Drosophila melanogaster: one gene and its partner. The protein of the gene in region 2 interacts with the protein of the main gene of each other region in a pairwise test. Each region holds a gene or a part of one and is shown on either strand. Other genes may lie near its edges.

Region 1 (3,760 bases), on a different chromosome or scaffold from region 2:
CGCCCACCCTACCCCCTTTTCCTGTTACCCAAAAACATAAACATTTTAGTTGAATTTTGTTTTCGTATGCGTACAGTAAGGAAGATGAACGGCTTTTTAAATTGTTTAAGTTTTAGTTAATTTTACTTTGCAGCCTTGGTAAAGAAAAATGTTAGCAAATATAATTATACATATTATGGCATATATAAAGAAAAGTTATAGTTATAAATTCTTTATAATATTTCTATATGAATTATGTTTAACGCAACTATTTTATTAATTTTAAATTAATTTTTAAAAAGCAATCACAACACGTTTTTAGAACAAAATACATGAATGAAAACAATATATATTTATATTAATATATATTTCAAATATATACACGCAATTGTATTTCTCTTTTGGTTTTATTTCTTTCAACCCATCCATAAAACCACCTCATCCACAGTCTATTCCCAACATAATTCATAAATTCATAATGGGTGCCTCAAAACTCTCACACAGACGCAACAACTAATAGTGCATTAGTAGACTTAAACGAGTTAAAAATCAATCGAAATAGACTTGCCCTCGAAATAGTTATATAAGCTGTACATATAGCCGCCAGTATACAAGAAATATATTTTTAAATGCCAAAAAGTGAGCGCTGTAAACTACTTTAAGCCAACTTCAATCAGCAGAATTTGAAAATGAGTGGGGATTGGGATAGGATGGTACGATGGTAGGATGGTAGGATTCTGGAATACATTCATATATTGACCGAGTTGAGCAGCCAGCATTTTCTTGTTGACTTTTATTTTGGCATGTACGAAATCGAAACTACGAAAATCAAAGCAAAAATGTAACGAAAAACAAAACGGAAAGCAAAACAAAGTAAGAAAGAATATTAAATTAATATTAGTAATGGTTCTGGGGAAACAAGGCATTCGCTCGCATTCGACAAATGAAACCGAAAACAAACATTTAAATTGTAGACAAATTTTAAGTTATCACTAAAATGACGAGTGCCGAATGCCGATGGAGAATTTGCGCAACTTTATTGTGCAGTGCAACTACATAAGTGTAATTATTATAAATTGGTACACATGCATACATATGTATTGTTAATTATTAAAACGATGTAAATAATACAATTACGTAGGCGGGAAGACACGGACACAAACATGCATATAATTAAAGTAAGCATAATTACATGCCTAACTATAAATAACTATATATTGGTATATATAAAGATATATAATATATATATATTTTTATATATATACACGATGAATTAAACTAAACAACGTAGAAATCATAGTTAAATTTTTTCGAAGTGACAAGATTAACGTGCAGCAATAAGCAACCGACAAGAACAACAACAACAACCACAACAACAACAAAAACAAACGAAACGCGCCTAGTAATAGTTAATAATTCTATTTTGTTAAGCGTTATTGTAGTGAAACGAAACAAAAGAAAACCAAACAAAAACAAAAACAAAACCGAACCGACAGATCGAACAGCAAAACCAACAGAATTAAGTTTTAAGCTGGACTTTGGAACGTGGAAAGCGAGTAGAAAACCAAAATGAATGCAAAACATGTTGTTCATTGACAAAGCTAAAAGTAAATATATATTTTGTACAAATATAATTAAATTCAGCCGCAGCTAAAACCAAGTACACTTATTAAAGTTTAAGCAACAACAGAACAACAACCAATTTAATATGCAATTACCGTAACAGTAGTTGATAAATCGAACGAATAAAACATCAAAAATTGTAACATTTACATAACTGCCTTTTGTGTCTTGCTTTTTTTTAACACTATGGATGGTTGTAATAACGGAAGGAGATGCTTTAAAAATTCAGTGTGACCAGGCAAGGTTATAAATTCATGTCCATCTGTTTCAAACAAAAGCTGGAAATTCTTAACTCCTGTTCCTTAGGGGAACACTTGAAGCCGAATGCAATTAAAACGATTTCTTATCTTGATAATGCTCATGACGAAAGGAAGTTTCGATCAATACGAGAAAAACTTTTTGCATGATTAATCGATCAGTGCTGGTAAGTCGCCAAAGTAGTCTGTCAGTGTTAGCAACTCAACGTGTTACTTGCTGTGCTTTCGACAGCGTGGTGTCGATTCTTCGAATTCATCGTTTACAACTTCATCATAAGGAATGCAAAATCAAAGCGATTTTGTGGGTGAGATCCCCAGGTACACTCGCAACAAGAGAAGGCAATATCAGCGCCAACGACGTAAGGCACATCCGCAAATTCCAGGGGTATTAACAGGAGGACCAGAGCCAGAGAAAGTCAACAATTGTCAGAGAAAGAGACCCATCAAGGGCCACGTGTATGACTCCACCAGCGAGGAGGATATGACCATCAAACGTAAGCATACAGACGCCTCGTGGTACAAGGTTCAAGTTAAATGCGAGAATGTGTCCCCGAACATCGAGGAGAAGCACGGCAACAAGATCAAGCAGCCTTCCTTAGCGTGGAACAACAACAGGAAGCCCAATAAAGGGGATCTACCACAACCACCGCTATCTTGGCTTTATCCCAACCAATCTAGGGGCTTTTATGACAACCAAAGCTGGAACTCTGGCGGCTCACGTCAGAATCAGTCGCAGTGGGAAGCACCAGTAAGCTGAAAATCAATTATTCATTTAAATAATTAAATTAACCGAATTTTATATGCACATCCGCAGAGGCAAGAACATTCATCTTCAGCTCAAGGCCGTAGTGCCAGGAACCCATATCTGAACCCTATTCAGGAATCCTGCAATGGGCGTTATATTATTGAACATCAATGGAACACGACCATTATCCATCACAAGTAAGGTAAGGCAACAAGAATGAATTACATAAAAACCTATTCGCTAAAGAAGATTTAACACAGCCACTTATTGTACACAAATCTATAGTATGTCATTTATAACTACATCGTGGGGATTTTCCCGATTTCCCAAACACAGGACATTTTCATGAAAGGGCCTTACATGTCTGATCAGTTAGGTAAGGGTTAAAAGCGCAACATTTTGAGATGCATTGGGCCCCAACACCTATGCAAAGTGAGTGCATGCATGTGGGTTGCTGTTATTGTGATGGTGTGCAAGCAGCAACAAAACAAACCGCATATAAATAAGGAGAGCGAGGTATTGTTGCATACTTGTAGGCAGCGGGATGGGGGTGGAGCTGTTCTGTTCCATCCGCTCGCAAAGTTCAATGGTCTTTTGACACAAATGATGATGATGTCAAGTTGAGCTCGTCCTACGCTCCTGCCTTGCTCTCTCTCTCTCTGATGCTCTTTCTAGCTTGCGCTCTTGGGTTTAAAGCCCCTCTGGCACCTTCCCTTCAGTCAGCAGCCGTTGTTGTTGTTGCTTAAGTGTTTGTTTGGGTGCCGTGCTGGCTCTCTCAGCTCCAACAACAGCAATGCGGCCGGCTTACGAGCCCCGGCTCTCTTCGCCTCTTTTGGAGCTCGCTCTTTGCCGAACGGAGAACCTACCGCAATTCGTTTCGTGTTCACGGCTGCATTTCCTTGTTTATGTTTTGCGAAGCCAAATGTAGGGTACATCGGTTAAGTGCCGAGCCAGGAGAAAGAGAGAGCGAGCGAACGAGTACCGTTATGTTGCCGGAGCTGTTGCAGGCTGCGCAACTTGCGGCTGCAGCTTTTTATTATTTGCCTTCTTCTTCGCGACCGTTACTTCTCGCATGGTACAATGGTGCAACTGTGCCCAAGCTGTATATTGAAAATAAAACAGCACTTCTGCATCTCACTGATGTGCAATGGCATTT
Region 2 (3,760 bases):
GGGTTGGCTGTATATCCATATCTGCATCTAGTATCTCCTGCTGCCTCGTCACCTGTTCTACCTGCGGACGAGCATGACCAGGACGTATCTCCACCTTGGGAAGGGGGAAGCAGTAGACCCTTTCGACCTCCACCAACTGGGGCACAATGCTGTCGGAGGAAAGCGAAGTTTCCGAGACGGTGAGAGGCACACATATGGTTGGCTCCTCAGAGGCATTTCGATCCTCGTAAGGAATGCCCACCCGGGTTATATTCAGCGGCACGGTCTCTGGAACACTCAGTTCGCTGTGCATCTGGGCGGAGTTTAGAGAATCCTCGTAGTACTTGTATTCGTCCACAGGATCAGAGACGCTCTCGTCGCGCCGGTCAATGCTCCCCTGAATGCTCCCATCTATCCTTTCGGTGCTCACCGTAAGGGATGTGCTATCGATGAAATCAGTGGGCCAATTCAATAGACCCGCAGTGGATCTAGTGGGCTGTGTGGGAACCGGTGGATGCACCACCGAGGATTGCATAAATCCTGGTACCACGGAGCTCGTTGCAGGTGGAGCTGGCATTGTGGTATCGTAAGGATACGGATACGGCAGGGGCAACCAGTTGTCGTCGGCGGAATTCTTGGAATTCCTTCGATTGTCCGTCGTCGTCTCCACGGACTCGTTGATCTGCTTGGATATTGCCTTCAATATGGGTTCCGAATCGTTGACCCTGGCCAACTCGAATTGTTGTGGCACCTGCTGAGTACTGATGCGCCGGCGTCCATATTTCTCTGCTGAACTTTCACGACTGACTGGTCGGGAATAGGCAGGATTCTGGTAGCCACCAGGGGCAATAGGAGCGGACAGCTCTTCGCTGGAACTTGATGGCTTGGCATCAATAGCTGCGGCATAGAAGTATTTGAGACATGAGCAAACAATTTCGAAACAGAGACCAAATTAAACGCTACATGAAGATCTTTTTAAAAAGATGTTTAGGTTTCAATATAGTTATCATTAATATAAATCAATAACATTAGAGATTAATAATTCAGGTTATTGAAAATATATTTAACCTATTAAATAAAAGACTAAGCAGACTTTAGTTTCATTAAATTCTAGCAGCGTTTGCTTGTTTTTAATGATACTTATATTAATAGGAAATTCACATTCGAAGTTGAATTCTTACCATCTGCCGGCAATCCCATGAGCATGGCTTCCAGGCGTCCGTAGACCCGCTCCTTGGGCTGCGGTTCCGAATCGATTTTCGTGTCCACCTTCTCGGGCCTCTCCGGATGCTCTGGCTTCCAGTTGCCGTACACCACCGCCTCCTGACTGGGCGTGGCCGGCAGGGGGGCGGTCTCCTCGCGCCACAGTGGAATGTGGGTGTGCACAGTGGAACTGATGGGGCCTGCAGCCGGCACAATTGGCCAGTTTCCCAATGCCTGAGCAGGTGCTCCGCCGACTGAAACGGGATTTTGCATATCCGCAATGCGTATACGCCCCCTGGGACGGGGAGGACCCTGCAGCTGCTGTGTGGCAATTAGCTGGCAGCCACTGAGGGCTATCAGCGACCACAGTAGACACTCTTTCCAATGACTAACCATATTTAAATTGAACACGTCTATCTTCTTTTTTTGCAGATGCTGTGCTACTTTTCAATTTTACAGTTCGTTTTTATAGGTTTATTGATTCATTCTCGTTTTCAGCAGCCACAATAACAATCTATTGTTTAATTTTTGGCTTCTGCTATTTTTTCTTTGACGTTGCTTCGATGTCAATGTAATATTCACATCTACAGTTCTTCACATCTTCACTTTTCTGTCGATCAACCACTTCACTTCCCCATTTCTTTTCACTCCCCACAAACAAATATTTGTATTATCGCTACCAGTTTTCGGTGTAACGCTCTTGCGAATTCGATCTTCAGCTTTCTTATAGATATTGTATATTGTAGAGGAAGTATCTCTTTTGCTGGCGATTTGCGATCTGCACGCGACGGCTTGTAAACGGCAACTGAGTTGGCCAAATCAATTCCAGCACCGCACAGGCCCACAAGAAAGATTCTTTCTAATCACGGGCCATAGAAATTTTCCTTTGTTCGGCTTCGTTATTATATGGTTTTTTTTTCGTCTTAATTATGCGCAAGAGCGTTGAAACTTAATGGCGAATAAACATTCTTCGGGGCCCCGCTTTCGGGGTCTGTTTCTACGGCGGTGGTGAAAATGCAGCGGATTTGATTTATATTCAGCTAGAAATAACCGCAGAGTATAGTCAGTGTGTTTACGTTATATGCAAATATGTTAGGTGGCCAAATCGTTTGCCGTTTTGTGGCCCAAAAGGTTATTCGGTTGTTTGTTCTTTCAACCTGATGACAGTGGTTTTTGGTTTCAATATTTGCGTAGCCAAGGGCTACTCCATTCGAAATGCCAAACGGTAAAGGTAGCCTACGTTAAATACAATAATTGGCAGAACGAAGAGGTTTCTCGGCGCGAAATCGGGGCTACGCCAGTAACCCATTCGTGGACCACTTCAACTGGCTTCCTCAGCCTTTCCACATGCAACGCCTGCCCGCGAAGACAAGTCGAATGGCACTGGAAAATCTGTCGTAATTATGCAACTGGCAACCAGTCGAGAGACTCCTCTCGAAAGAAAATTTCCATGGCGGCGATGTAGAAATATGGAAAATTGGAAAACCCAACCTGCATGGAATGGGATCAACAAACTAACGTAATTCGATCTGCGAAGTAAATAATAAAGCAACGAAAGATGCACGGTAAATGGGGAAATACTTTGAGAAAATAATGAGGACCCATAAACGCTTTGTCACGTTTGTCTGAACATCGTGGATATGGTCAGCTGTAAAACGGAAAAAAATAATGCCAGAAAATATGGTAAGTCCATCATCAAGTCGGTTCGGCATAATGGAAACGTTAGTTTACTTTTATTGTTTCAAAGCAGCGAAACTTTCACACTCGTTAATAAAATATTATTAATTTGATTGAGCGCCCCTGTCTGTTGGTTTTATGGTACTTAGTGGGAAATTCAAAAGTTATTAAACGATTATCATTCAGTGTGGTACAGCGATTTGGATTTGGAAGAGCTTGCAGAATGAAATCACAGTCTTGTTGTTGTTGATATAGAATGCGAAGAAGTTACGTTTCCAGGATCATCGGTTCGGTGGGGGAATGGAATGGGCGGAGCTCGTCTATTGGTTCTCCAGCAGACCGATGTACTGGCCATTCTGGTTGGCCACGCGTCGCTCCTCCAGTTTCCTCGCAAAGTCTGGATCTGTCTTGGCCCTCTGCTCCAGACGCTCCTGCTGCAGTTTAATGCCAGCGTAGATCTGATCCAAACCCTTCTGTATCTCCTCGGGAATAGCCGGCGGAGTAGGAATGTGATCACCTGTGGCCCTGAATCCATTCTCGTCGGCCGTGTACTGCACATTGACCAGAGTTCCCTCGGGGGATTGGTAGGAGTACTGGCCATGCTGAACCAACACCCCATTTGGATTGGTGTCGAAGTCCTTGAGGAAACCGGTTTCCTCATGAATGATGCTATTGCCCGTCTCGTATTCTGTCTTGTAGCTTCCATCGTCACTCTGCTCCTTGTTGTACTTGATTATGGGTATCCAGGTGCTGGTCTCTCTGTGATCTTCATGACGATGATGATCTGGTTTGTCATCGCGTGGTATGTTGTTCACATTTTGGTGCTGATGTTGATGGTGGTGTTGTCCTTGGCAGGAAATGGCCAACAGCACAAGAAGTATCTGAAAGGATAAATATTAGC

The links. Proteins that work in one complex are often made in the same cells at the same time.
Region 1: the proteins of CG13157 (region 2) and Rbp9 interact in a two-hybrid assay, tested with the Drosophila melanogaster proteins (one large-scale study listed by BioGRID).

Annotation. Positions count from the first base shown.
Region 1 is NT_033779.5:2,952,707-2,956,466, forward strand, and holds the start of Rbp9 (RNA-binding protein 9), read left to right. Parts: upstream 1-2,055; 5' UTR 2,056-2,607; intron 2,608-2,673; 5' UTR 2,674-2,801; intron 2,802-3,760.
Region 2 is NT_033778.4:12,414,273-12,418,032, reverse strand, and holds the start of CG13157 (uncharacterized protein), read right to left. Parts: upstream 1,990-3,760; 5' UTR 1,579-1,989; coding exon 1,161-1,578; intron 877-1,160; coding exon 1-876. Other genes in the region: Cpr49Ah (cuticular protein 49Ah), read right to left, coding at 3,180-3,740.